7 linked regions of the Cricetulus griseus genome follow. The protein of the gene in region 5 interacts with the protein of the main gene of each other region in a pairwise test. Links are inferred from orthologs where the notes say so. Each region holds a gene or a part of one and is shown on either strand. Other genes may lie near its edges.

What was found.
Region 1: the proteins of phospholipid scramblase 2-like (region 5) and Cry1 interact in a two-hybrid assay, tested with the Homo sapiens proteins (2 studies listed by BioGRID and IntAct). The link is inferred for Cricetulus griseus from reciprocal best matches to the Homo sapiens genes PLSCR1 and CRY1.
Region 2: the proteins of phospholipid scramblase 2-like (region 5) and Ccer1 interact in a two-hybrid assay, tested with the Homo sapiens proteins (2 studies listed by BioGRID and IntAct). The two-hybrid records come from large-scale screens. The link is inferred for Cricetulus griseus from reciprocal best matches to the Homo sapiens genes PLSCR1 and CCER1.
Region 3: the proteins of phospholipid scramblase 2-like (region 5) and Slc35a2 interact in a two-hybrid assay, tested with the Homo sapiens proteins (2 studies listed by BioGRID and IntAct). The two-hybrid records come from large-scale screens. The link is inferred for Cricetulus griseus from reciprocal best matches to the Homo sapiens genes PLSCR1 and SLC35A2.
Region 4: the proteins of phospholipid scramblase 2-like (region 5) and Ewsr1 interact in binary tests that used the Homo sapiens proteins (3 or more experiments, as listed by UniProt). The two-hybrid records come from large-scale screens. The link is inferred for Cricetulus griseus from reciprocal best matches to the Homo sapiens genes PLSCR1 and EWSR1.
Region 6: the proteins of phospholipid scramblase 2-like (region 5) and Anxa11 interact in a two-hybrid assay, tested with the Homo sapiens proteins (2 studies listed by BioGRID and IntAct). The two-hybrid records come from large-scale screens. The link is inferred for Cricetulus griseus from reciprocal best matches to the Homo sapiens genes PLSCR1 and ANXA11.
Region 7: the proteins of phospholipid scramblase 2-like (region 5) and Esr2 interact in binary tests that used the Homo sapiens proteins (3 or more experiments, as listed by UniProt). The link is inferred for Cricetulus griseus from reciprocal best matches to the Homo sapiens genes PLSCR1 and ESR2.

Annotation. Positions count from the first base shown.
Region 1 is NW_023276806.1:150,258,469-150,262,955, reverse strand, and holds the start of Cry1 (cryptochrome-1), read right to left. Parts: upstream 2,812-4,487; 5' UTR 2,248-2,811; coding exon 2,090-2,247; intron 1-2,089.
Region 2 is NW_023276806.1:163,522,379-163,525,568, reverse strand, and holds Ccer1 (coiled-coil domain-containing glutamate-rich protein 1), read right to left. Parts: upstream 1,774-3,190; coding exon 580-1,773; downstream 1-579. UniProt on the Homo sapiens protein: Regulator of histone epigenetic modifications and chromatin compaction into the sperm head, required for histone-to-protamine (HTP) transition.
Region 3 is NC_048604.1:114,346,313-114,350,549, reverse strand, and holds the start of Slc35a2 (UDP-galactose translocator), read right to left. Parts: upstream 2,869-4,237; 5' UTR 2,860-2,868; coding exon 2,769-2,859; intron 1,453-2,768; coding exon 1,270-1,452; intron 1-1,269. UniProt on the Homo sapiens protein: Transports uridine diphosphate galactose (UDP-galactose) from the cytosol into the Golgi apparatus, functioning as an antiporter that exchanges UDP-galactose for UMP.
Region 4 is NW_023276807.1:99,823,612-99,828,025, reverse strand, and holds the end of Ewsr1 (RNA-binding protein EWS), read right to left. Parts: intron 3,474-4,414; coding exon 3,344-3,473; intron 2,425-3,343; coding exon 2,302-2,424; intron 1,926-2,301; coding exon 1,763-1,925; intron 1,510-1,762; coding exon 1,412-1,509; intron 1,262-1,411; coding exon 1,009-1,261; intron 898-1,008; coding exon 858-897; 3' UTR 513-857; downstream 1-512. UniProt on the Homo sapiens protein: Binds to ssRNA containing the consensus sequence 5'-AGGUAA-3'. Might normally function as a transcriptional repressor. EWS-fusion-proteins (EFPS) may play a role in the tumorigenic process.
Region 5 is NC_048597.1:201,287,324-201,291,033, reverse strand, and holds part of phospholipid scramblase 2-like, read right to left. Parts: intron 2,381-3,710; coding exon 2,148-2,380; intron 134-2,147; coding exon 91-133; intron 1-90. UniProt on the Homo sapiens protein: Catalyzes calcium-induced ATP-independent rapid bidirectional and non-specific movement of phospholipids (lipid scrambling or lipid flip-flop) between the inner and outer leaflet of the plasma membrane resulting in collapse of the phospholipid asymmetry which leads to phosphatidylserine externalization on the cell surface.
Region 6 is NW_023276807.1:193,979,270-193,983,730, reverse strand, and holds the start of Anxa11 (annexin A11), read left to right. Parts: upstream 1-1,603; 5' UTR 1,604-1,757; intron 1,758-2,082; exon of another isoform or gene 2,083-2,231; intron 2,232-4,461. UniProt on the Homo sapiens protein: Binds specifically to calcyclin in a calcium-dependent manner. Required for midbody formation and completion of the terminal phase of cytokinesis.
Region 7 is NC_048598.1:127,302,222-127,306,428, forward strand, and holds the start of Esr2 (estrogen receptor beta), read left to right. Parts: upstream 1-1,407; 5' UTR 1,408-2,015; exon of another isoform or gene 2,016-2,211; 5' UTR 2,212-2,290; intron 2,291-4,207.

The sequences.
Region 1 (4,487 bases), on a different chromosome or scaffold from region 5:
AGAACATGTAGAACATGCCATCTATGAAGTATACTCGTCCCTGCTAGATAGCAAATCTACTGGTGCTTTCATCTTGAACTTCTCAGCCTCTAGTCTTTTATTTGTAAATTACCCAATCTAACCTGTCCTGTTACAGCAGCCCAAATCAGCTAATGATACCAAATATTCATTAACAAAAAAAAAAAAAGAAACTATACATTCCTAAGAATGTGTAAGAAGCAATACCAAGCACAGTGTAGGAGTTCAGAAGACTGCATCATCCTAGACCAGATGATGAAGGTAACACAGAAAAAGCAACATTTGGGCTGAGTCTTAGAGAGATAAGCAGACTTTTTAAAGTTCACAGCTTAAAGGCTATTTACAGAGGTATGAAGCCATAACTTCCCGCTGTGCCCATAGCTAGACCCTCCCAACTTTGCAGTTTCCCCAGGACTAAGTCACAACTAAACTGCTCTCTGTCCCTGTGTATTTGCCCACTGTGGATACTTCATATAAGCACAGCCATATAATATATGAAATTTCATGACCAGTTTCTTTCACCTAGCATGTTTTCATGGTTCACCCACACATCTTACAGCATTTATCAATATTTCATTCCTTTATGGACAAGTAACAGTTACAAGGATATACCACATTACAAAGAGTAATCAGCTGATGGATATCTGGGTCATTTTCATCTTCTGACTATGGTAATATAGTTCCTTTTGTTGTGCTCAACACCATAACCAACTTGCCAGAACATTCTGTGCAAGCCATTTTCATCTTGCACTGGGATAAGTACGAGTCTCCTAAGTGGTCTTCTCAATTCTTGTCTGTCTTCATTCCACCATTTAGCGTGTTCCCGGAATCACAAAGAAAAATTTTTGTAACTTAAGTCAGATTATGTCACTTCTCTGCTCATAATCCTATAATCATTTCCACTTTGCTCTGAGTCAAATCACAGACCTTAGTAACTGCTTATAAAGCTCTATTCATGTGGCCCCATTACAACTCCCACCTCATTAGCTATCACTTTCCCCACTCATTCTGCTCCAGTCATTCTGGCTGGGTTTTCCTTCCAAAGGTCCTGGAACGCTCTTCTCTTACATAGCTGCATCCCATCACTTCTTCCAAATCTGCTATGACGTTCTCCACTATTTCTACAACAGACAACGTTTTTTTTTGTTTTTTTTTTTTTTTTTCCCCCATGGTTCTGAGGATTGAACTTCATACACAGCAGGTGTACTCTTCCAGTGAGTTATAGCCCCAGGTAACTAACAGTATTTTAAAGTGTGCCCCCATCCCCATTCCTGTTACCTCGTGTTTTCTCTGCATTACTTCTTGTCACCTAAAAGACTACATATATATTTTCCTTTCTCAGACATATGCTGAAGAGGACAGACTTTGTTCACTGCTCTATCCCTCACATTCAAAGCTATGCCTGGCACATAGCTACCAATACATCTACCGAACTAATGCTTTCATTTCATTCAGCCGCACAATCATCTATCCTGCTTTTTCAGCAACAGCTCAAAAAACATCCTGAGGGTTTCTTCCAGGGTGGATTCCCTAGAAGGATTATATTTTGCCTCGAAAGAAAAACTGTGCTTTATCTTGTCAACCACAAGGAGGAGTTGAGAGTGAGATAGAGCTAAGCAAAGAGAAATCAGGTAATTCTTTCCCTTGCTTTTCCTCCTCTAACCTCAAGGGGGAAGAAAGCTCGATCTGGAACCGGCTGTAATAAATGAATGGTTTTTCTCCACATTATGAGTTACCTAGACACACACGTCAACAGTAAAGATTACAACCCTTTCAAGGGCCAAAGGAATCAAGGCCTGGGAGTGTTTACTTCCCCTACTTTTTATATCTCACAAATCGGGGAAAGAGTTTCCATCACACAGACACATAACTTAGGATGAAGACCAAGGTGTTCCAGGTGCTCAGTACCATACTATTAAGTCTACAGCATTTAATATAGACCACATCTACAATTCTTAAACGGTGTGAACAATTCGATCCCTGAACTAAAACCAAATCTCAGATCTGCCACTAACTCATCAACACCCATTCGTGTACCCCGCGATCAATTCCCCAAGTGCTTTGGACTCACCGCCACCTGTTGATGCCCACATTGGAAGAGCCAGCGAACCAGGGGTCGAGGATGTAGACGCAGCGGATGGTGTCGGCGCCCTGGATGCACTCCTTCAGGGCGGGGTTGTCGTGGAGCCGGAGTCCCTTTCGGAACCAGTGCACGGCGTTCACCCCCATGCCCGGGGCGCGACGGGTCACCCCGACTTCCTCTACCGAGAGTTTCAAGGGAGGGAGGCCGGGCTCATAACCGACACCTGCGCTTCCAGGAGAACCTCCGCACGCGAGGAGTGGGGAAAGGACGGCAGAGAGGGGACGGGAGTAGGCGACGCCGAGGCCGGGCGCGGAGGCGGCGGGCGCGCAGCTGGCAGATGAATGGAGGCTGCCGAGGCGCTGAGGTCCACGGGCGACGTCCTTCAGGAGCCCGCGCCCGCGGCCAGCGTCCGGAGGACACGCATACCTTCCGGGGCCTGCGACCCCCGGGGCGGGAGCAAGCGCGCGGGGCTCGAGCCGCCACGACGGCCCGAGCTGGCCGCAGCAGCCCCGGGAGGCTCGTCACGGAAACCTCGCCCTGGCGAGGCGGCCGGCGAGGAGACGGTGGCGCGTCCCAAGCGGCCTCCACGCAGCGACACGAGCTCCCGCGGCCTCCGCGCGACGCGGCCTGTGCGCCCCGGAGCGGGCAGGGAGCTCGGATCGCGCGGGCTGGCGCTCCAGGCCGCTGGACTCTCGCCGGCCGGCCGGTCCCCGGTCCCGAGGCTGCCCGGGTGACTCCGCCGCGTCAGCGGCCTCCGCCCCGCCCCCGGCTTCTCATTGGGCCGCACGCGCCCCACGTGACCACCGGCACCTCACGTTTCTGAAGTGTGTTTACTACGTTGGCCCAGACCCCGGGGTGAGCGGCGGCGCCGGGTGTTTCCGGACCAGTGGAGGCTGCTCGGCACTCGGGACCGCAGTTCTCGTGTGGGGTCCGCGCTCGCCGCCTCCGGTGGCTCCTCATCCCCGGGACGCTCGCCCGGGGCCACAGGCCGCGGGGGAGGGGGAGGAGGCGGAGTCCAGCTGGGGGGCCGGGAGCTGCTTCCATTGGCTGAGGCTCGCGGAGACCCGGATGAGCACGGGGCTGCAGGGAGCTCGCGGGCGCGCGCTCACGGTGTAATCCCAGGGTTCGGGAGCGCGCCCAGGGAGGTCTGAGGCCGGCTCGGGGAACCTCCGAGAGTTGAGGCAAAGCTGGGGTGAGAGTTAGAGGAGGAGAGCCACCGCCTACTTCAGTCCCACGTTAACCGGAGTCCCTCGCTCGGGGAGGGGCGGAAACAACCCCCTTCAGCCTTTTTTCTGCTTGGCACCGGCACTTGTGCGTGCACAGGCTCTGGAGGACAGGTCCGGTACCAGATATTCGGCACTTCCCGGAGTTTCGTAATACTGCCGATATGTCGTCAGTTTACCCACTCTAATCTATTACACAGGGTTTGGTTTAGAAGGTATCTTGATCAGTTTTCTGTCAACTGAAGTTAATCTGGGAAGAGGAACCTCAACTGGTAAAGGTCTCCGTCCGGTGGCCTGTAGGGAAGTCTGTGGGTATTTTCTTGATCAATGACGTGGAGGACCCGACCTGTGTGGGTGGTGCTACCGCTAGGCAGGTTGTATAAAATAATAAGCAAGCTGAGCAAACCGAAGGGGAGTAAACCGGTACACAGCTTTCCTCCATGGCCTCTGCTTCAGCTCTGTCCCCAGGTTTCTGCGTTAAATTCCTGTCCTGACTTCTCTCCATGATGGACTATTAGCTATAAACTTCCTGCCCAAGTTGTTTTTGGTCAAGGTGTTTTATCCGAGCAATTGAAATCTGACTAAACACAGGGCTGCATGTGCACCTTTGCCAGACTTTGAAGCAATAAACTGCTTGTTGTGCCCTAGACATATAATGCCCATTTTGTTGAGGCAGGGTCTCATGTAGCCCTGGCTTGCTTTGAACCTGCTATATAACTGAGAATGATTCCTGTCATGTCCCCGCCCCTGAGTCCTAGCATCACCTATGTGCTTATATTACCCACGAGATTATATATTACATACATATATATCTATTTATATCTATATATCGACATCTCTATCTCCAGAAAGAAAGGGGGAACATTATTAAGTTGTTTAGGGTGGCCTTTAACTAACCTTGTAGCTCAGGGATGCCTTTATACACCCCACTCACTTTCAGGAATACCTGGGGTTATAGGCCTGTACCACTAGAGACAGCATAGCAATTACTTATTGAATGGAACAGGTGTGTTCAAAGGGAATAACAAAATCAGATAAACTGAAAAATAAAACCCCAGCTCTCTTGTGGAGTTTATGATTTGTTTCTTAATCTTTATTTGCTAGATTTTCTTTTGATAGAGGAATGTTCTTTGGAATCTACAGGTAACTACAAGCATCCTTGA
Region 2 (3,190 bases), on a different chromosome or scaffold from region 5:
CATGTTCTTCTGAGGAAGATCCATAGCACTGTGGAACAAGGAATATAAATGAGCAATGCCACAACAGACTGCAAACTGGGTTACCAAAATACAGCCCTCAAAAATGAACTCTGAAGGTGGAAAATCTACAGCTGCTGAAAAATACTGTTCAAAGTGCCCTCGGTGACATGAGCACTGGTAAGTATTCAGTGACTACCATGCATGCTTCTTAAACACGTGACAATAAAAAACTGTTTATTCCAAGCTCATTAAGCTGTGTAAATTTAAATGTTTTCTTGTTATTGCAAAAACTTTGAACTACCAAGTCTCAATTGTCTGAAAATGGAGACAGCAAATAAAAATATTCAAACTGTAGTAATAAAATATTTGGTCTTTAATCATTTCCAGTAAAATATATCTGAAATCTTTCCTGCCCCCACCCATAGTCATACACAAACACACCAATGTTTAAATATTTTATAGTGGCCAACGGAGGTGTTTACATTGATGTTTATTAATGGAACTCACTTTGGAATTTGTATTTAATAAGTTGTTAATTCAAATCAGTTCTATTTCATTTCTCAGTTCCCTTCTTGATGACTAATGGCTAATGTCCGGTACCATAAACAGATCTGCCTCTGGCACATTGGGAATTATTTGTTCTGGGCTTAAATAGTCATAGTTTATAAAGTTCTCTCTCTCTTCTTCGTCCCCTACTAGGACTGACAAAGGCATTCCCAGAGGCAAGAATTTGTCTTCCTCTCTCTGCTCTCCCTCCTGCAGCCCCTCCTCTTCCAACATCTCCTCCTCCTCTTGGTTCTCTTCTCCTTCTTCCCCATTGTCAGCCTCTTCGACTTCTTCCTCATCCACATCTTCATCCTCTGTCTCTCTATATTCCTCCTCCTCACTCTCCTCCTTTTCATCACAAACCTCGTCACAATCATCAATTTTTTCCTCCTCCTCCTCTACCCGCTGCGGGGTGGGAGACTGGATTTGCTGCACTGGAGCAGGACTTAAGATTAGAGAGGGATCCTGCATGAAGCCATACAGATCTTCCGGCAACTGCGAGTCTTCCTCGACGCCGCTGTGAGGCGTCTCATTGGCAGTGGAGCCTCCCGGGGTGGTGCCGCCCACCTGGGCTTGCTGTGCTCTCAACGCCGCCTGCTGGCGCTCCAGCTTCTCTTGCTGCCTCATGTCTTCATAGACCTGGTTCATGATGAACTGGGTGGTGTTCCTTGGCGCTCGCATCCCAGGCGCCCGCCACCCGTAAAGGTTGACCGGCCGCAGCAGCTTGCTCAGGTCTATAGGTGGGTTCCTCGGGAAGGAGCCACGAGGCTGGCGGCGCAGGCCACGGCCCCTGCGGCCCCAGCGCTTCTTTCTGCCCTGGGGTCTTTCCCAACCGGGGTTGCAGGGCCAGCACCAGCAGGAGCAGCAGCAGCAAAGGCAGAGTGGGAGCAGACCATAGGCCCGGATCATCTGCGCTGGGCACAAGGGGCTCTGGAAAGCCATCAGGGGTGGGTGCCAGTGCCCTCCGCAGCGCCCCCAGTTGGAGTACACGGCCCAGTAGGGCCGTCTGGGTGGTTGGAACCAAGGGCCAGGGCTGTGCTGTTGCTTGGGTTGTTTCCTGGTAGCCTCATACTCAGCTTTGGGGCCATTGCGGTATCGCCGCTTGGACATCTGAGAGCCCCTCTGCCTTCGATGGTAGGAGGACCAGGTGCGCAAAGGGATGGAGGATGCCCAGCCGCCGCCGCCCAGATTGAGGGGATCCTCCCTTTCGTTGACCGTCTGGGTCATGGCTCAGGGATCTTCACGAGATCTTAGTGGTAGTGTCCTACGAGTCCTCACTTTGGCCAGATCTGATGCCCAATCAGAAAAGCCTCCTTAGTTGGAGTCCCGAGGACCACGTGCTCGTGCCTGTGACCTTGTCTTCTGTCTTCACAAGGATCCCCCTCTTTCTTCTCCACTTGCTAGCTCTTCTTTCAGAATCACTGTCTTTCGCACCTGGGTTGTCTTGCCCAGGTGGTTTGGGTGGGGTAAGGATGGTGGGGGAGGAAGGTGTTGGTGGGCGATGAGCTGTGAGAGCCACTCCCGGATCCCACACACACCCGCCTCAGCTGAGGCTAAGGCTGGGGACGGGAGAGGCAGGGTGGCCTGTTACCTTGCTCCTCCCTCTCAACCCAGGTGCTTCACCGTCGCCGTCCTGGCCGGACTGAATGGGGCCTGGGCAGTGGCAGCCTTTAAATACAGGCTGGTCCCCCTCCCCCAACCCCGCGTGCCCACTGCGTCTTTGGTTGCCCAGGACGACAGCCAATTGGGGTGGACATGCTGCTTTATGTGAGGAGAAGGGGTTCCTGCCAGAACAATTATCACATGAACATTCGCAAGGGGTCTTATGACGCAGGATTTGAGGCAGAGGTAAAGGTGGGCAATGCTCACACCCTGGCAACGCTTGGGGGGTGGGGGTATTTGAATTTTCCATCTTAAGTCTGTTGAGCGATGTTGGAATATGGACCTTCCTCTTCCGCATAGTGAAATCAGGAAACCGTGTATCTTCTCTACAGCTGTGTGGGCAGCTGCGGTCAAGGAAATCCGGCCCCCAATTTGTCCTCAGTCTTCTAAGTTCAGAAGTTAGTTTCATGGTACATGAAACATTATCACAAACATTTACTGGGGGTGCATCCAAGCATGTAATGTCCCTTCCTCTTCAAGAGATGGTTACTAGGTTTCACAGAGGCTGGAAATGAAGTGACTTTGCCCAAGGTCGTGGAGACTTAAGAACTTTACAGCTGGCCTTGAAACAAAACTGATCATAGAGATAAGTTCACATCACATAAGTTCACATAATTTTCACTAGACCCCTGAAGAGAAGTAATGGGTTACAAATAGAAAATACCTTATTCATTCTAATATCCACCTACAGATCTGCTGATTAAGCATTAGCACGAAGAATGACATGAATTTGATTTTGAGAATAGGTTTATTCTGGTTGGAAATGGTGTTTGACTCGGGTAAACGATTATGAATCAGATTCATCTTCCCTTGTAAGCTCTTAGGAAGCCTGGTTCTGTTGTATATAGAACACATCCCCCAGGGGTGGAAGGAAGACAGAAAAAAAGCAGATACCCCTAAATACTCAGTAACTTAACCATCATTTTCATATTGACTTCTCATACAGAATATGCAAAATACCTGGCTCAATGTCTGAGAAACA
Region 3 (4,237 bases), on a different chromosome or scaffold from region 5:
ATGGCAAGAGCTTTTACCTGCTGAGCTATCTTGTTAATCCTATGTTTTATTTTGAGGCTGGGTCTTAGCAAGTTGACCAGGTTGGTGTTGAACTTAGGATCTTTCTGCCCCAGCTTCTCAAGTAGCTGAGATTACAGGCCTGCATCATCAGGTCTGGCTTTGTTCTTTTGTTCATTGGGGGTTTGGGGTTTTTGTTTATTTATTTGTTTTGTTTTGAGATAGGATCTTTCTTCAGCCCAAGAAGACCTAGAATTTATGACCCTCCTGCCTCCTACATGCTGAATTACCCAGTTTTATTGTTATTTTATCATGTATGATTTTATTATGCTTCCTTTTTTTAGATAGAACTTCAGATAGTTCAAGCTGTCCCTGAACTCACTATGTGGTCAAAGATGACCTTGAACTGCTGATCCTTCTGCCTCAGATTATAGGCATTTGTCACACTGGTTTATAAGGTGCTTGATATCAAACCCAGAGCTTTATATATTCTAGGCAAGCACTCTATCAACTAAGCCACACCCCCATCTGTAGGTATTTACTTATTGCTTGTTTTTTTCTTGTTTTGAGTCATTGGAGCATTAAATGTTGCTCAAACTAGCCTTGAAGTCATGGAATTAACTGATGCTCTGCCTTAGTATGCTGACCAGGTGTAGTTACAATTGCATGACACTCCAGCCAGCTGGTCCTATAATGGTGCAGCCATGTAAAAGATATATAAATTAGCAGTGAGCAGCTAGCCAGTGATGCTACTTTATGACAAGTAGCCAAGGGTTGAGAATTGTGAACCATTTTACTATTCTCTCTCTCTCTCTCTCTCTCTCTCTCTCTCTCTCTCTCTGTGTGTGTGTGTGTGTGTGTGTGATGGAGTTCTTTATATTACAAAGTTTCTTTCCTTTCTAGACTGAGTCACATGTAGCCCAGGCTAGCCTTGAACTTCCTATGTTATCTTGATCTTCCTGCCTCCACCTTCCAAGTGCTGTTACTATAGGCATGTACCTCCACACTTGGCTTCCATAAGGTAACATTAAATTTTTGAATCCCCATGAGTGTTCTGTTGCCTGGTGGGCAGACCATCTCACTACTACAGTTTCCAAGGTGGAAGGGCTATACAAGCGGCGATGAAACTTTACACAGCTGGAGTGGCAGGGAAGCCACTAGTCTCCAAGCAATTTCAGACACACCAGTATACACTCCCCCCCCAAAAAAAAACCTCCCAGGTGTGCTTACACGAAGGGGGTCAGACCAACCAACCCCTTCCCTGACTCATACCCCTCTTCTGGGCGAAGAGCAGCAGGAGACAGGTGACACCTTTAAGCACTTCAGCCATGACCACAGCGGTGGTGGCAAAGAAGCGATCACCAGGCAGTGTACGAGCATATCGGATGCTAAGGATGAGGGAGGCGTTCTGGACCACCAGCACAGCTAAGGATATGTACTTGAGGCGCCGGTGAGCTGTAGGGAGTGGAATGAACACAGAAGGATGGGGTCAGAAGCTGTTGGGGTACAGCCACCCATCTCACCCCTCTTTTCTCAAAAACCTCCCAGTCACTGGAACTTCCTCTGCCTGCCCATCTTGACTAAACAAGAATCTGATTCCCTACCAGTTTCCACACCCTCAGTTACTGGCAAAAGTGTCAGACAGGGAAAAGCGGGCCCCATTCTGACCAGCTCTTAATCTGAAATCCTTGGTAAGGTGTGAGGAAACAACCTGAGCAGGCCCTGGACATACATATTCACTTCCTCTCCCTCCTCTGGGAAGCAAGTCTTTCTCTGACAGCATTCCCCATGTGTATTGAATGCTACTGCCTATCACTGCACTAAGGGATTTACATGGATTCCCATTATTTGGTCTCTGAAGGTACTGTGAAAAATCCCATATTGTGGATGAGCAAATTGAGGATTTATATGAAGTGAGGTTTCTACTTGAAGGAGTGTCCCATAAAAGAAATAATACTTCAATATAACGAATGGGACAATTGTCTAAGATGTCCACCTCCTAAGGATTGTTCTATTTTCTCATCTCATCTAATGGTTACTCAGTAGTCTATCTTAATCACATAAGGAAATACTTCCCTACACCATATAGTCCATCCTTCTTCTGCTGTAACCCTCCTCCCAGCCAAAGAATAATTCTTTGTTCTACCCACACTCACAATGAGCTCTGTCTGCTATATAGAAGGACTTGGCACCCTCAGAATGTTTTTTCCCTGACCTATAAGGAAGGAACCTTCCCACCTTAGCATAAATAGAACTATCTCCATTTGGCTGGGACATCCCCAGGACAATCTCTCCATGGAATGAAGGGCAGCGTGAGGCTCAAAATGGATCCACTAGTCATACAAGGATATGCCCCACCCTGACAATTTATAAGGTGCCTTTATAAGGAAGAAGCCACCACCCTAAGAATCGCCTCTCCCTTCTATAAGGAAAAACTCCCACCCCAGAATTGGCTTTCCCTTCCACGATTAAAGACTACCCACACCCCCAGAACGTTCTCAACGGTCAGCCGCCTCAAAAGGAAATCCCCTACACATTCACAACGGTCTTTATTTGCAAGTCCAGGACCCCCGCCACAAGCACCCACAAAACGACCGATTCCTGCCCGCAATGGACAATGGTCCGTTCTCTCCCCTTCTTCCCACTCTCATACACACTCAAACACAACGTCCGTTCATACGAGACGCCGCTGTCACTCCAACTAAGGATCGTTCCACCCCCAAGGATCCCCATCTCCGCCCAGCCAATTGCTCTGCCTCAGGTCATCTCACCCGCTGTAGCGGACCCAGGCTCCAGCGCGCCAGCGGATACGGCCCCTGGCCCGGCCGCCGCGGCAGATCCGCCAACCCCAACCGCTGCCATGTTGGCATCTGCCCGTTCCGTCCCCTCGGCAACAGCAGGCTACTTCCGTATCCATCACGTCCGCTTCCGGGCCTCCGGAGTGGTGGGCGGAGCATTAGCTGGGACGGGGAGGTGGGTGTTCTTAGCCCGTTCCAAACCCGATTTTTTTTCCAACCCCGATTCTAAAATGGTGGTTTCGAGCTTCCCAAATTTCACCAAAACCTGAGAGACCAAGAGCGCCACAGTCCTTACACTTCTCTGCTGGCACAACGTGGCAGCAGACCCGGCCCACACCTCCCTGCCGGCCTCACCGACCCCGACTGTCCACACCACCAGCCCAAACCATCCGGTGGTTTCATTGGTTATGTTGCTCCGCCATCTCGGCTTTTTATTGGAACCTTCGGATGGCACCACCCTTCTCACATGAGAAACTCAGTTCCATTCCCATCTCCCAGCCAGGTCCCGCCCTCTAAGGGCCGAAGGCCAACTGGGAGGAACCGGACTTTCGAGAAGGCGGGACAAGTGAGACATAGGGCTATGGCTAGACTCAGAGAATGCCCCATCTAACTTCAGTAGGGAGGGCTAGTCACCATAACAGAGGAAATGATGGGCAGGGTTCAGGACAATTGACGTCAGAATTAGAGAACACCAAGGGAGGTGAGTTGAGGTAGATGGGAGGAGGAGCATGGAAGGCAGACAAAATTAAGGTTTAAAGAGCTACACAGAAAGTGCTAGAAAGATTCCAGTTGGAGCCTGGGATTTATGTTTGTGCCAGTAAATCCCACCACTCCAAGTTTGAGGCTAGCTTGAGCTTCAAAAGACCCCATCTAAAAACAAAAACTGTCAGACTGGCCCACTGTCTCATTGGGGTTTTCTTCAATAGAGATTTTTCTCCAGGCATCTCCTAAACTCAGCATACAGTAGGTGCTCCACTAATGCCTACCTCTATAAATGGCCATTCACTTGTGACTTCATTATTTATTAAATAGGTTTCCACACATGGCTTTTTAAATAATCCAGGCAGGGGGAGAAGGGACAGGAGGGCACACTTGCAGCTCTCCTACCGCCAGTACATCATTATTTACACTTTAGTCACTGGACAATCCTGGCTCAGGAGGAGGCAGCAAAAGTTGGAGGGGGGGGACCCCAGGAGAACAGACAGTAAGACTTATTTCCTCCATTCCATCCCCCCAAAACCATCCATCCCATCCTAGTGTCTGGTGGTGTCCGGTGATGTCCATCTCCCATTCCTTCCCAAATTATGGAAGTAAGGTTCTTCTCACCAGAATAAGAGCACTTGGGATAACAGTAGGGTCCCCTCACCAAAAAATTATAATAAAATAAAGAAAAAAAAGGATAAAAAAAGCACTGGGATACTAATTAATAGGGCTTAATAATG
Region 4 (4,414 bases), on a different chromosome or scaffold from region 5:
GGTGGCTCAGGTCTTTAATCTCAGCATTTGGGAAGCAGAGGCAGGCAGCTCTTTTTAGTTAGAGGCCAGCCTGGTCTATAGAGTGAGTTCCAAGACAGCTGGGACTACACAGAGAAACTTCAAAAATCCTAAAGACAAAACACAGTGGGAGGTCTGCTGGGTAGAGGAGCACCAGGAAAGTCAAGAGGGCAGAAAAGGAACTAAGAATGATCTGTTGGCGCTGCAGGGGACATGGCAATTGTCTCAGTGAAGACACAGGATGATCCTGTGGGTTTAGACAGGTGGAGCTGGAATGACTGAAGGCCTGGTGGCTGGCTCAGTCTTCCAGAAGTAGGGGAGCAAATGTTAGGCAGCAAAGCCTAACAGTTCCAGCTCACTCTGGAGGAGCCAGTGGATGAGAGCACAGGTTTCCAGCAGCTTACCTCTCCAAGAGCACCCCCAAGTCCCTGCACCCATCCAATAAGGGCTGGAAAGAACCGAACACGAGACTGCAGAATAGAGGCCGAGAAAGATGAGAGTTTATAAACATTTGGAATTTTATTTAAAAAAAAAAATCACAACCATGAACATTGTTACAATTAGAGGCCCTCTTGGTTCTCCACAATGATACTGAGCATGCTCACAAGGGGTTCCCATTGTTAAGTCTTAAAACAACCATCTTTAAAAGGAAAAAAAAAACTCAGCACACTACCATTTAACTTGTTTTAATGTTTCTTCACAAATGGTGAAAATACTAAAGTACAGACAAGGAATAATCATAATGTTGTGGCCAACATTATAAATATGGAATTATAAATTTAAAACATTTTCTGGTTTAAAAAATAAATCTGGTCGTCAATGCAGCTCTGCGGGTCTGTCTAGTAGGGCCGGTCTCTACGTTCCTGACGGTGCTCGCCTCTGCAAGTCAAAGAGACACTTTGGTTAGAACAAGGAAGGGACACAGAGCCCTACCAGAGCCCCCAGTGCTCCAGCAGAGGCTGGGGAGAGGCAGCGCTCCCCACCACATACTTATCCATTTTCCCAGGTCCTCCACGTCCGCCTCTTCTTCCTCCCATCTGTTCCATCAATGGTCCAGGAGGGCCCCCAGGACCACCTCGTCTTCCTCCACCAAAGCCACCTCGGTCCATTCCACGGCCACCTCGGAAGCCACCTCTGTCTCCACCTCGGCCACCTCGGAACATTCCTCCAGGACCACCACGGTCCATAAGCCCACCTCTTCCTCCCCGCATGCCACCAGGGCCACCTCGGCCTCGATCACCACCTAAGGTAGGAAGGAAGAGTGGTAGGTGAGTCAGAGGAGTAGAGGCTGAGGCTCTGAGGACACACTGTGGTGGATCTGCTAATCCTTCTCCTAGAGCAGACACTACTCAATCACCAGGAAGCTGAGACGCTCCAAGAAACCTATACCTACCCGGAGGTGGGAAGGGTGGCGGGAGGAAGCCCTCAGGCTTAGGGGCCTTACACTGGTTGCATTCTGTTCTCCAGGCGAAGTTCTGGTTTCCACAGCCCCTGCATAAAGTTGCATCACAACAGAAATCACCAATAGAACTAAGGGGGGTAGAAAGATTCACACCATATTCTATGCACAATCATGGGAGTCCAGGCACAAAACACTAGGGTCTGAAGTAAGTCTCAGGCAGCAAAGCACTCCCAGAAGCAACCTGAGTACTCAACCAAACCTCTACCCATAACAGTCCTGTCCCAGAGTGGGAATAGGGTGACACCACTAGCAGGCTATCAATCTGCAGGGAGAAGTACATACGGATTGGGACACTGCCAGTCTCCAGCTCGGTGCTGGACATTTCCTCCTCCAGAGGGGTTCCCTCGGGAGCCTCGGGGTCCCCGTGGGGGGAAGCCTCCTCTGTCTCCTCCACGGCCTCCCATGCGTCCCATGGGTCCTCCAGGACCACCTGGGCCACCAGGACCTGCAACAATAAACAGTCAATCACCTCTTCATAGCAAATTTGCTACAGGAAACTCTTCCACAGGCCCAGAGTGCTGTCCATGAATGCTATTCTTTCTGTGCAATTTCATGTAGCTTCCAACTATGGCATTTTCATATAATGAAACTGACAGCCAGTCAGAGGTTCCCTGGAGCTCTACCAATTAACCCATATTGTACAAACATACAATGCTGGCTCAATGGTCTAGTATCAATTTTACACACCCTTTTCTTATTTTACTGTTCTACTAAGTTTCTCAAGGGCAAAAATCACTGAAAAACAAAAAACAAAAAAACCCAAACCAAAACTGTTTAAAGTAACACAAAAGTAGCTAAAAGAAAGTGCCCAATGTATATACCTCCACGAAGTGGTGGTGGCATCCCTCTGCCCTCTCGAGGTGGCATGCCACCCCGCATGCTGTTCATTGGAGGCTTCTTTCGGGCAAGAGAAACTTTAAGTTTGCTTCCTTGAAAATCTTTTCCTAGAAAAGGTAACAGAACATCAGTGATCCTTACATTTTAACTCTTCCCTCTCCAAGGAGCTACTTTTCAACAGATTCCATCTTACTGAACTTGTCTACCCACCAAAGCATTAAAACCTCACAATCTCTAGGCTCTTTCCTGGTATGACTGGAGATGAAGTATCACAGTTTGTATGGCTTGTTTAAACATGTACAAGACTGAGCATGGTAGCCAGCTAGCCAATGCCTATAATCTCAACATTTGGAAGTAGATGTAGGAAATAGATCAGGAAGCTCAAAGCCATCAATAGCTACATATGTGGGTCTTGGAAACACTCAAATGTACACTGGCAAAGACATCTTCCTTTCTGTGTCCTTCTCTCTTTCATGATGTTAAGAAACTGAACCCAGGGACTATACACGTTAGGTGAGTATTTGCAGCGTGAACAAGGTAGCTTTGCAATAAAACACACATAACAGGATATCCTGACCCAGGGCCAGTGTCTGTGTCCTTTAACAGTAGAAGGGGAACACAGTGAGTAACTTCCTTCTGGAGTGGATCATCTTATTGTTTCAGCTCTCAAATTCCTTCCTCCTCCCCTATTGTGGTCCAGAAAAAGGTTAAGTACATTCCTTCGGTTTCTACATTCCAGAGAATGTTGTTTTTTGAAGACAGGGTTTCTCTGTGTAGCTTTGGAGCCTATCCTGGCACTCACCCTGGAGACCAGGCTGGCCTCAAACTTACAGAAATCCGCCTGCCTCTGCCTCCTGAGTGCTGGGATTAGAGGCGTGCAGCACCAACGCCCAGTGGCCCCAAAGAATGGTGTTTTAACAGTATCCAATATAACACATACTTTCTCAGAGGGGACACACAAACTGTTCTAATTTCTTAAATGTTCCTGCATGAGCAAAATTCAGAGTGACAGGGAGGACATCCTACCATCAAACCATTCCACAGCAGCCTTGGCAGTTGGTGGATCTTCATAGGACACTGTTGCATCACCTTTAGGCTTTCCTGTCTCCTTATCCAGATAGATGTGGATCATGGGTTGCCCAGTTCTCTTGTTCATCTACAGTTAAAATAATTAGGATGTGACTATAACATTTGAACTTGAAGAAGTTCACAGTAATTCCTAAGTACCCCCTGTTGTCAAAAGGCAGCCACATAGAGTGTGATGTTCCACACCTTTAATTCCAGTGCTTAGGAGACAAAGACAGATCTATTTCTAGGCCAGCCAAGGCCAACACAGCGAGACCTGTCTGAAAAAAGTCAACAGGCAGACATAAAGTCTACCTCAGATACCTGAATTAAAGGTGTGCACCACCACTGCCCAAGTATAATACCATAAAAAAAAAAGGCACAGGAAAGAATACAGCAAAACAGTCGTACGAACAAGAAAATGCTATTTAAAAAGGAGTTATGGTCATGAATGCCTGCGTGTATGTATGTGCACCTCATGTGTGCAGTACCACAGAAGCCAGAAGAGGGCATCAGATCCCCTGGAACTGCAGTTACAGAAGGTTGTGAGCCTTGGGAGCTGAACCTGGGTACTTCTAAGCAATCTTTCCAGCCCCACAAATCTTTATTAAAAACAAACAAACAAACAAACAAACAAAAACCTCGGGGCGTTGGTGGCGCACGCCTTGAATCCCAGCACTGGGGAGGCAGAGGCAGGCGGATCTCTGTGAGTTCGAGGCCAGCCTGGTCTCCGGAGCGAGGGCCAGGATAGGCTCCAAAGCTACACAGAGAAACCCTGTCTCAACCCCCCTCAAAACAAACAAACAAACAAACAAACAAAAAACCCACCAAAAACCAACTCAACAGAAAATCAAACAAACAAACAAAAATAAAAACAAAACAAAGGGCAGGAGAGATGGCTCAGAGGTTAAGAGCACTGACTGCTCTTCCAGAGGAACTGAGTCCAATTCCCAGCAACCAAATGGTGGCTCACAATCATCTGTAATGGGATCAGATTCTTTCTTCTGGCATAAAGGCAGATAGAGCACTCAT
Region 5 (3,710 bases):
AAGAGTGCTGTAGGAGAGGCAACTTGCAGGCCGTTAACTGTATGAACTGCTCCTGTTTCTAGAAATACCACCAATGCAACAGATACATACCTTCCAGAAGTTCGGTTTGCTGATGAATCAGTATCTGATCTATCTGTTCCAGAAAAGAGAAGATGCATGGAATTATTATCAATTCCTAGCAGGGTCAACATTTCACACTCCCCATTGTATTTTGTATAGCATCACATTTTTATATATTAATGGCAAATATTTATTTAAAGATGGACTTATTTTTACCTGTATGAATGTGCAGCCTAAATGCATGTAAGTGTACCCCTTGCATCCAGTACTTTCGGAGGGCATATGTGGGAGACAGACTCAGTGAAACTGGAGCTGAAGATGGTTGTAAGTGGCCATGTGGGTGCTGGGAATCAAACCTGGGTCCTCTGCCAGACCAGGAATACCTCTTAATTCTTGGGCCATTTCCCAAGCACTAGTTTGTTTATTTAAACTTTTGTTCATCTCAAAAGTAAGAATTTTTAAGTCAAATAAAGTTGATTTGTAATGGAATTCCCATAAAATTACAAAAAAGTGTTCTTTCCAGAAAATGAGATTGATTGATAATTTATTTATCCATTCAAATAATTTTCTTATAGGAAGCTATCCCTTGTAAGTGATAATTTTCCTTCATATTTTATTTTCCATGATTAAATTATGTATATTCCAGAGTATTTTTAAGATTACAATTAGCACTGAAATTTCTCTTATATTTAAATAATCCACTAAGTCCAATTAGTGCTGCCCATTTGTACACAGGTGTGCAGGTATAGAGTAGAGCATGGGAAAACTGCCAGTGCTCACACCCACAAAGAAGAATGAGCTTCCTTCCCCAGAAGCTAACAAGTGTCCAGAGCTCCTCAGTTAGGAAGCCCCCCTTAGCTGCTGTGCATTCCTGAGTTCAGCAGTCACACCTCATCCAATAGATTGCATTCCATGGCACCTTTCCTTATTCTTCTACTTCTACATTCTTTCTGCCTCCTTCTCTATAATTTCCCCAAGTCTTGGTGTGTGTGTGTGTGTGTGTGTGTGTGTGTGTGTGTGTGTGTGTGAGAATTCATAACAATGTCCTCTTACGGCTGAGCATTCAAAATGACTGAAAATTTCTAAGTCTGTTGCTTGAACACACACAGGACATGTTAGTGCTATGTGTGCCAGACAGACTAGAGATGGCTTAGATATCACAGGGCCCTCTGGATGTGTTCATGAATTTGGTGTACCTCACAGCCCTCTTTTTACCTCACCAGCTTTTCATATTGAGCTATTATTAAACTGCATTTTTGCTAAAATTCATTATCATTGAACTATAGTTCGGCAAAAGCCAGACTTTCTTCCCTCACTGGAGGCAATTATAATATTGGGTTTTCTAAAGAATAAAAGTGGAGTTACAGTTTATAAAACTACATATATGAAAAAAATTACTCTTTCCCAGCAGTGGTGGAGCACACCTTTAATCCTAGTACTTGGGAGGCAGTGTCAGGTGGATCTTGTGTGCAAGGCCAGCCTGATCTACAAGGTGAGTTCCAGGACAGCCAGGGCTACACAAAGAAACCCCCGTATCAAAAAAACAAAGAGAAAAATTTTAAACTTGCTCTTTTTTAGGTATCCTTTAAAGACAATAACTAATTTTTTTTAGACTCTCTTTTTTCAAATACCAAGGCTGTGGGTCAGCCTTGGGGTAAAAAGCTTTTATACTCATTACCAAAGTTCACAGTTAAAAAGTAAGTCACAATGACTGTTCCGTGGTTTTAGAGCCTCCACAAAGCAGTTAGCATTTTTTGACGCTGGTTTCCCTCTTTGAAAAACCAGTGATAATCTTGTGCACATGTCACAGATTTTCTAAGGATTGTACTTGAAACAATGACTAGAATAATGTATAGTAAATACTGCCTATTAGGGGTTATAGGCCAGACTCACAGGAAAACACAATTGTCTCACACCTTGGTAATTTGCACAACAACTGAACTTCATCTAGTGGAACCAGTTACTATGAGTAACCAGAAGACATGAGGACAATGCTATACTTCGGTGAATTATTCATTTGTTGTCCAAGTAAACTAGAAGTAGAAACACAGTTTTGTCTTTTGTGAGTTCTGAGTATGTGGATTTACCTGACTTAAGTATTCTAGCCCAGGTGGGCAGCTCTGAAGAGGTGGTGGTGCTGGCATCCATTGGGTATTAACAAGGATGATAGCCTGGTTATTTTGAACAGGAAGCTGTGTTGCATTATAACCTTCACAGCCAGCTGTTGAGACTGTGTAGCCAGCCTGAGGTCCTGGGTTACCAGAGTGGGGACCTTGGTAGTCAGTCTGGAATGTAGGGCATCCAGTATGTTCTGGAATTCCTGAAATAGGAGCAAGGAAATTGATTTGCAACTTCATAGAGAAAAGTATAATCATTTCATGTTGAATTATCTTGAGGCCTCTCCACTCTGGTCTATGATGTTTAAGACTTTTCAATGCAGTACCTGTGGTTTATACCTGCTTCTAATTATAGGTATACACAACCAAGTTTATTGTTATACCAGTTAGTCATAATCAGCCAAGATGTGGCATCAGCCTAGATACCTACCAACATATGATGAAGAAAACTACACACACACACACACACACACAGAGAGAGACAGAGACAGAGACAGAGACACAGAGAGACACGGAGAGAGGAATATAGATAGAGATAATATGGATCTTGATATGGATATGATAATGGATATAGATAATAGTTTATTCAGCCATAAAGAAGCATGAATTCATTTGTAGGAAGAAATATGAAAGTAGACATCACCATATAATGAGACATAAGCCAGATGCACAGGTGTTTCTCTCTTTCACAGGAGCATACTGATTTTCTCTGTGTTGTATAAGTGCCTCTCGCTAATCTATATCCAGATTGTGTCACTGGAGCACCTTCTATCTGATTATTGGGTTTCAGACAATCTTTTTTATCTGAACTCTGAAATGCACTTCAATATGTGATCTATTTTTATAGCCACCCATGTGCACACACACACACACACACACACACACACACACACACACACACACACACACACACAGTTCAGAACAACAAAGCAAAGTTTACAACAATATTAACAATTAAATTAGCAGACAAAGTAACACATTATATTGTGACACTGACATACTTGAATATCATGTTCTTTGTTCACAATTCATCTTCCATTAGCCTCTTGTGTACCTGTCTATATTGTCCCACTGGGTTCTGACTAATCCCTCAAATAACTGAGTATGCTTTTGATGTTATATGGTCATGGTTTTATAACTATATTCCACACACAAAAATAATAATAAAAGTAGGTATATCTGTCTTTGGGAATCTGGCTTGTATCTCTCTCTCTCTCTCTCTCTCTCTCTCTCTCTCTCTGTGTGTGTGTGTGTGTGTGTGTGTGTGTTTTGTTGTTGTGTTGATTTTTGATACTTGTTTTTTTGAGATAGTTTTACTATACTGCCATGGTTGGAGGTCTTTAACTTGCTATGTAGGCCAAACTGGTGCCAAATTCACAGAGATCCACCTGTCTCTGCCTCCCAATTGCTGGAATTAAATGTGTGCACCACCACACCCAGACTGGTTTGTATCTCTTAATATGCTGTGTCTAGTTTCATCTATCTTCTACAAATGACTCTTTTCACTCTTTTTTCTGACTTAATGAAACCTGT
Region 6 (4,461 bases), on a different chromosome or scaffold from region 5:
GCATTGGCTCTGCTTCAGAGAAAATGGGCCATCCAAAGCCCACCTTTGCAGCCCTTTTGGGGGGACCAGCATTGAGCAGGGATGGGACAGAGGAGCTGCCTTGAAACCAGGTGCCATTCCCTCAAGAATCACCCCGCCCCAGAGAGAGTGTGACAGTAGCTTTCTGGAATTCAGGAAGATTGGAGTTGGTTTGGTGGCAGACTTCACAAGAGCCCAATGTCCCCACAAGTATAATAGCAAGTTACTTGTTCTTTCTGTCCCTCTTTTGTTCAGGGGGTACTTTCCAGGAGCTATTGCTTGCCCGCCCATCCTTTCTTGTCCTAAACACGCTATCCAATCAGGAAGGAGCTGTGCCTGCAGGTGTATGTGTTAGAGCAACGATTGATGATGGCAGCCCCACCTGCCTGCACGTGGACCCCTCGGCGCAGGGCCAACAATGGCAAAGTACCTGCCTTCCAGGCTCCTTCTGACTCTCTGTTCTTTGGGCTCCTGAAATGCAAATGACTAAAGGCTTATTTGCAAGTCAAAAGTGGCCAAGGAAAGACGTGTACACCAGGTGGGAGCTAGATAGTAAAGAATCTCGATCCCTAAGGGGGTAGGGAGAATACTGGGTGGTTCTTAGGAAAAACCTGGCTGATCCAGGGTCGCCAACTGAAAAGACTCCAATATACAGTGAGGAAAAAATACTGCAATCCAGGTTTGCAAGCAACACGTTTACTTAAGCATACTAAGCAATGCACACATAGACAATGTTGGACAGACACCTGGAAGCAGGCGCCTAATAGTGATGGGGGGGTGTAAATAAAAAAGAGGACTCTCAATTTTTATTTTTTGAATGTTACCCAATCATATATGTATGACATGACCTTTTTCTAAAAACAAACGAACAACAAAGCCAAAATTAACCCCAAACACTATTTCTAGAATAGTTTTAGATTTATAGAAAAGATTAGGAAGATAAGACATGGAGTTACCATAAACATGGGTTTTGTCCTGTCATTAACATGCTGGTGTTTTTGCTATAATGAAAGGACCAATATCTATGCATTATTATTAAAATCTATAGTTTTCAAATGTCATTGGTTTATTTTTTAACCTAAATGTCCTTTTCCCAGGATCCCATTGGAAATGTCACATTATTCAGTTTTCATATCTCGATGTGACATCTTCTCAGGCTTCCCTTGTTTTGATGACCTTGACAGTTTTGGACAGTTGTTGAGTTCCTCAATTGGGGGGTTGTCTGATGTTTCTGCACGATTACACTGGATCATGTGTCACTGAGAGGAAGACACCGCATGGCAGAAGGTCAATATAATTCGTCACTGCTGATGGTGGCCCTGGTCACCCGGCTGAGCCAGTTGGTAAATTTTTCCGTTATGAAGTTTCCTACTGCCGTACACGTGGTGTGACTTTTTAAAGTTTTCTTCACAGTCAGATCTCTAAAAACATACAGTCGGGTGAAAGTCTCTAGGGGTCTAGAGCGGCTCTACGCTGCGAGCAGGCACCAGGCTTCCTAGGCAGACACGCAGGAACGCGGACCTCACCTGTGGGCGTGGTCCCACGCACTCCGCCCCTCTAGAGAGGCCCCACCCCTCCCACGTGGCTCCGCCCCGGGGCGCTTAAGGCGACCACGCCTGGAGAGTTTTCCGCCCCGCGGGCTCCTCCGTGGTACGTAGACACTCGCGGGTTGAGATCCGGGAAAGCGTCAGTGGGAAGGAGCTGCAAGTCAACCTCAGCGCCCGGGTCCCCGGTGCCAGGTGAGTGGGGGTCCCCGTGGGCGGCCTGCCGGTGCTGGGTGTTCGCGCTCGGCGGGGGGTGCGAGGGTCCCCCGAGGCCAGGACTCGGTGTTGAGCAGGGTCTGAGCTGGTGAGCCTGGGACCTCAGCGGGTGAGAGCTTGGGGGTTGGTTCAGGTCTTCCCAACTCCGTGCGCTTCCGGGAGAAGCTTGAGCCGAACCCTGCCGACCGAGAAGGCTGTCTTTGAGAACTTTGCTCCGGAACTGCAGGGCGCGGGTTCCTGGACCTGCCACCCAGGGTTTATATAAGGCAGGGTTCCCAAGTGGTTCAGAGAATGCTGGATCGTGCCAAGTGTAGTGTTGCGTTGCCTGCCTTTCTTAACGCGTATCCAGCCAGGATCCCTTCGCCCCTGCCTACGCGCCGGTTCCGAGGAACTCTTGGGCTTGGCTCCCCCACTTCCCGTGGGCTCAGGCCGGACTCCTAAAGACCTAACTAGGTAGGAAATAGATCTGGGGGGGCGGATAGCTCTAAGCTCAAGCTGGGGATTTCTCTCACCGCCCGATGATCAGTGGGTGTCTCTGAAGATTGTGTTTCTGGGACCCTCTAGTGTCAGCCCAAATCGTCTGCTCCCTTTCTAGGCCTTGTCCTGCCGGCACAAGAGGGATTTTTGAGCAGGAGTACCCCGGGGCTACATTGAAAAAAGCTACGAATACAGCCCTACACAAAATCAGTAAATTTAAAATTATGAGTTTTTTTTTTTTTTTTTTTCTGGTGGGGTAGTGTAACTCAATTGAGCTGTTCTCAAGTGTAAACACTTTGTAGATGACTGTGTGTCATTGTCAAAAGGTTGGGCATGTCTGGAGCCTCGTAGGACAGGGCCTGCTGTCTTGCTCACCCTCAGCTTGCTTTCATTATGCTCCTTCATTATTTCTTTGCTTCAGTCAGTTACTGAGAATTCCAGGAGGATTAACAACTAGGCCATTCCCTCAATGCTTGTCTATGCTTAGTGTTCTCTAACCAGGCAAGCCAGGTGAGTGAGGGCAGTCTGTTGCTCTAACACAGAGTGCCTACTTTGGATGCAACCATTCCTCCCTGACCCATCATTAATCTCTGGACCTTGATTTCCTCATCCATACAATAAGGATAACTATAATTCCTATTTCATAGGCTTAGTGTGAGGATTCAACCAGTTAATTTTTTGTTGTTGATTTTTTGTTTTTTGAAACACGGTCTCCCTCGGTAGCCCTGGCTGGTTTGGAACTCATAGAGATCTTGCCTCTGCCTCCTGAGTGCTGGGAGTAAAGGTGTGTGCTAACTGGCCCAGAAAGTTAATGTTTAAAAAATTATTATTATTATTATTATTATTATTATTATTATTATTATTATTATGTTTTCTGAGACAGGGTTTCTCTGTGTAGCCCTGGCTGTCCTGCAACTCACTCTGTTGACTAGGCTGGCTTCAAACTGAGTGATCCCCAGCCTTTGCCTCTCAAGATTAAAGGCTTGTACTACCACCGCCCATCTGACTATTTATATTATTTTTAATTGAGTTTCTGTGTGTTCAGATGCCCTGGAGATGGAGTTATAGGTAGTTATGAGCTGCCTGTCTCTGAACTCTGGTCCTCTGCATGAGCAGTATGCTCTTTTCCAAAGAGACATCTCTAGCCCTATGAATTACTCTATTTTTACAATTTTCTGTTGTTTTTGTGTAGCCCTGGCTGTTCTCGAACTCAGTCTATAGACCAGGCTAGCCTCAAATGCAAAGTTCTGCTTGCCTCTGCCTCCTGAGTACTGGAATCAAAGGTGTGGGCCACTTCACCCAGCTTACTTTTACAATTTTTTAAGTATATTGTATTTTGCGTGTATGCGTGTTTTTGCCTGCATGTATGTATGTGTACTATGTGGGTACCTAGTGCCCTTGGTGTCCCTAGAGGCCAGAAGAGGGCATTGGATACCCTTGAACTAGTGTGCAGACAGTTAAGAGCTGCCATGTGGGTGCAACATGTGCTCTTAAGTGCCAAGCCATTACGACAGCCCCTTGAGGGTTATTTGGGTTTTTTTGGGGGGGGTTATCTGTCTATCCATCCAACCATCTGTCTGTCTCTCAATCATCTATTTTTAGGGATAGGGTCTCTATATGTAGTTCTGACTGTCCTGGAACTTGCTGTGTAGATTGGGCCAGCCTGGAACTCAGGGATACACCTGCCTCTGCCTCTTGAGTGCTGGGATTAGAGGCGTGTACTAAGTTACATTTTTTAACAGCTCCACAATGCTCAGGTACTGACCAGTTAGAACAGGTAGCAACTGGTGCATCACAGTGGGATGGATGATGCTTGGATTAGGTTACCAAGGTAAGGCCTGGCTTGTGAGTGATCAAGTGCAGCTGCTAGTGGATTGCAATGGTAGCAAGAGCCGAGGGTGCAGCCGGTTTGAACTGCTCTGTCTTAGCACACACCGCTCCACCCGCTTCCCTCCATTTTGCTCGTTTCTTATTCACAAATCATTTGGACCACTTCTGCTCCCCGGTAGGAGGGATAAGACATGCCCTCTTGCTCTGCCTTGTCATTGGTCCAGTTCTCTTGTATGACCAGGTGTCTGGTCCTTGTGACATCTCAGTCTTTGGAGCACAGAGACTATTTCTGAATCATCTTAGTCTTTCAAACTGCCCATGGTGAGCCTTTCTTTTAAAGTGTACAGGAAATGTCAGCTGGATGAGAGGCAGGCAA
Region 7 (4,207 bases), on a different chromosome or scaffold from region 5:
ATCATAGCAATGGAAATCTAGTTAAAACACACACACCCGAAAGTAGCACGTAGTTAAATGGCCAGTAAGCGATCTCTGTGTATAAAAACCACTGTTGCTACTGGGTGTGTTCTTTTTTTATGTCTTTTTTAAAGATTTATTCATTTATTATGTACGTAGAATTCTGCCTGCATGTATCCCTGCAGGCCAGAAGAGGGTACAAGATCTTATTACAGATGGTCATGAGCCACCATGTGGTTGCTGGGAATTGAACTCAGGACCTCTGAAAGAGCAGCCAGTGCTCTTAACCTCTGAGCCACCTCTCCAACCTCACTGGGTACATTCTTATCTTGTAGCTTCATATTGTGGATGTAAGCTCTGTGAGCCTCCAGTCCTTGTCGGGAAGGTGGGGCCAGTATTACCTGCCTCTCAGAACTGGTATAAACATTAAATGAGCTGCTGTGCAGTCTGGCTTGCTATACATACTCCATAGATGCTTTCTTTATCCCCACTCCACCTTTACCTGCCTCTTGGCTCTTGATTGACAGTGCTTCACTGATGTTCCATTCCAGGTGATTTTTAAAATTAAGAACACATTGTTGTTCGTATGTAATAATACATTGTGGGTGTGTAACATGTTGGTTACATCCAAACAGTCGAGGTTGGCATTGTACAAGTTTCCCTCAAAATATCCCCTTGGTCTCCCTCTGTTAGACCACCACCCACCAAGAACCTTGTCCTGAGTCTGGAGAGACACCCCAGCTGTTGAGATAGCATAGTCCTCTTGAAAAGAAGCCTAAATCTGGCTAGGTGGTGGAGGCACACCCTTAAATCCCAGCACTTGGGAGGTAGAGGCAGGCAGATCTCAGTGAGTTTTAGGTCAGCCTGGTCTACAAAGTGAATTCCAGGAAAGCCAGGACTGTTACACAGAGAAACCCTGTCTTGGAAAACCATTAAAAAAAAAAAAAAAGTCTAATTCTGTTGTCAGCACCCATGCCCCAGGGCTCACACCCTCCTATAACTCCATCTCCAGGGAATCCTACACCTATAGTCTCTGTGGGATCTGCTCGCATGAGCTCATGCCCACGTGCACATAATTAAAAAGATTAAAAGGTAGATCTTTAAAACCCTTCATAAACATGTCCCCCGCGCAGTGTGTGGATGGTTTGATGACTGATTAGGTACACATGTGACACCTCGTTAGCCTACAGGTCATTTGGTTTCCTTTTACCTTTTCCCATCAGTGGCTGCCTTACAGTCAATTATTTCTCAGAGACTAAGATATGATCGCAATCTTTGCATAGTAGGACCACTTCCAGATGAATGGGGAAGGTTGACAACCTTCAGAGCTGGGAGAATCAGGGCTGCCGTCAGGGGGCGCCAGAGACCCTCGCCGCCACGGTGGGAGGAGCCCTATAAAAGCGTAAGGGGCTTTTCTCCAGGTGAATTCCAGGAGGCACCCGAGATCCTGGACCTAATCCAAGACTTTTTTCCCCTTCATTCTCTCTCCTCACCCCCGCCGTCAGACTCTGAGAGATGAGTATCCACGCTTCCACCTTCAGCCGGTGGCTTTGCCTTTCTGGGGATCAAGCTAACGCTCCCTGCAAGGGACCTATCTGGCTTCATGACTCCGTTATTACTGCCCCTTTCGATGCTATTACCCGAACCCAGGGCCTGGTCCACGCTTCTCAAGGATAGTTGTCAGACTTAAGCGTTTAATGACATCCGCTTGGGTCAAAGACTGGAGACAGGATCAAGTGTGGACCCGCACTGTCAACTTCAGAATCCCTGGGGACCTGGTCAGAAATGCCCATTCTCTCGGTCCTCCATTGTCAGTCTCTTGGGCAGGGAGGGGGCGTCCCTAGTGGGTGGCTGTGAGATGGCTGGAAGTGGACATCCAGTGGATGTGGAGGCGCAGCGCCGGAGTGCCGGAGATCTCCAGCTCCGGGTTCGCGGTCACGTGGGCTCTTCAGCTAACCACCCACCCCCTCTTCACCGTCTTTAAAAGGAAGACTCACTAACGCCGTTAGTCGCGGGTAATCTTTGCAGCCTCTCCAGCTGCTGGCCTTTTTGAAACCAACTCCCAGGTCCCTGTCTCTTGCTAGGCTTCTAGAACCACCCCTTGAAACTTCCCGGGAGTAGAGGGGGGCGGGCGAGGGGAGCCTGGCCGGGAGGGAGCTGCTTGTGCTGCGACTGGCATCCTTGGCACCCGGTCTGAGTAGAGTCTGGCAGTTCCAGCTGGGCTGAACGGCTGCTGTGAGTTCTGCGTGGGGACCAAGGAAAGCACGTGTCTGCTTTTAGAGAATGCCAGGTAAGTGCCCTTTGGCTCAGAGTGTGGTTTCATTGACTTTGTGTGGATTCCTGCAATGGGAAGCCAGCAATATTTAGAACAATAAAGGGGCAGAAGGATGGATGCAACTGCTTGGACACCACTGGAAACAGAAATTTTGCTGACTTTTGGGTTGGTTGTGTGAATATAACTGTTTTTTTTTTTTTTTTGGAAAAAAAAAAAGAAAATTCCCGTGGTTTTCTTCCGTGGATTCCTGGTGGTGGATGAAATGATGAAGCTTTTTGCCTGAGTATCGTGGACCAGGGAAGATGTGCCTATTTCAGGCCGGTGATCACGGCTTGGTCATGGTAGTCCTTAGTCATGTCAGAAATAGATTTATCTTTTCTTTCTGGGTAGTCTCAGATACGTTAAATCTGATCTCTCTTATTTGCTGGAGAGGAATCTAACTGTTGCTTCTTCACGATTACCTGTGATAACTGTTTCACAGTGGAAGCAGAAAATTGGGTCAAGTGAATATTGTTTTTGTGTGTGAGAAACAAAACTTTGAATTTGAGTGGAGCTCTGTTCAGAAAGGAAGCTTGTTGGTAATTCTTACGTTTTAGAAGGCAGGTGTGTTTTGCGCAGCAAGCAGCACTCCAGAGGAAGGAGTTTTGTTTTGTTCTATTTCAAGTGTTTCCACTTGAAGTTTTGTTTCTGCTGTAATGATTCCACTCATGGTGATATTTCCTCTCTTTCCCTGTAAATGTTATTTAAAAAGTGAATGGGAAGATTAGACGGCAGCTATATGGGGACAATGAAAAGAGTGTGATAAATGCTTAACTCACTTTCTTCTCCAAGAAAGCCTGTAGAGTGGCTCACACCCCATGACATACCTTTATCTCCAAAAATATTTACATTACGATTCATAACTGTAGCAAAATTGCAGTCACTAAGTAGCAACAAAAATAATTTTATGGTTGGGGTCCCCACAACATGAGGAACTATGTTACAGGGTCACAGCGTTAGGAAGGTTGAGAACCACTGCTCTAACAGACGTTCTGTCTGAACAAAGTAAAAGGTCACTAAGTGTTAAAGCAGAAACTTTAGCATTCCATTTTATGTTCGGTGGTTTTCTGGAGGAATCTGAAATTCTTATTTCAAAACCAGTGTTAAAAGGAACACTTTTAGTCTTGCTCAAGATATCTAAGTGTTTGAAATAAACAAAAAACACATGTAGGGCCATTTCAAGGAGGGTTTAGGAAGCCAAATGGTTCGAGTCAGAGTTGACATTCCTCAGAATGGATTTTTAATATACAAAGGTAAAACTCGGTACTCAGTTCAACCTATCAAATATATAATTTGCCTTTAATGGGCGTTATGCCCTTTGTGAAGACTAAGTCACTGTAATTCAACAGGCCATACCTTAAAATTTATTTCATGATAAAATTTTAGTTGATGTTTCTAGTCATTTTATGGAATATATTAGGAAATGATTACATAAAATTCTGAGGAGTAAACATCAATCACTTGCTGGTAATTTTTTGTTGATTGTATGCAAAGCCCTTGAAAACTGAATGCGTGGGTATTAGGTCTCATAATTCAGTGTTTAGTACATTGTGATAGACATTTGAAAAATTATGCTTATTGCAGTCTTGTTTACAGACAGTTGAATTTAAGCTTAAAAAAAATACCACCCTGAGGGTTATGATAGAGAGGGATTAGCTGTCTCTCATTTTGGAAGATACACATATAGTTTTAAAGAGTTTCATGTAAGTCAATTATTAGCGGTCAGTTTTATGGTTATTTTAGAGTAAGTTTCTTTGTTCCTAACTTAAAATTGATTGGGGACCTTACTATTTTGCTTTGGAAAAGATACATGTGAAGGTAGTAACTGCTAAACAGAAACAGCAAGAATGCTTGGTGCTAAAAAATGTGTACCTAATGGTCCAGGGATGTGGC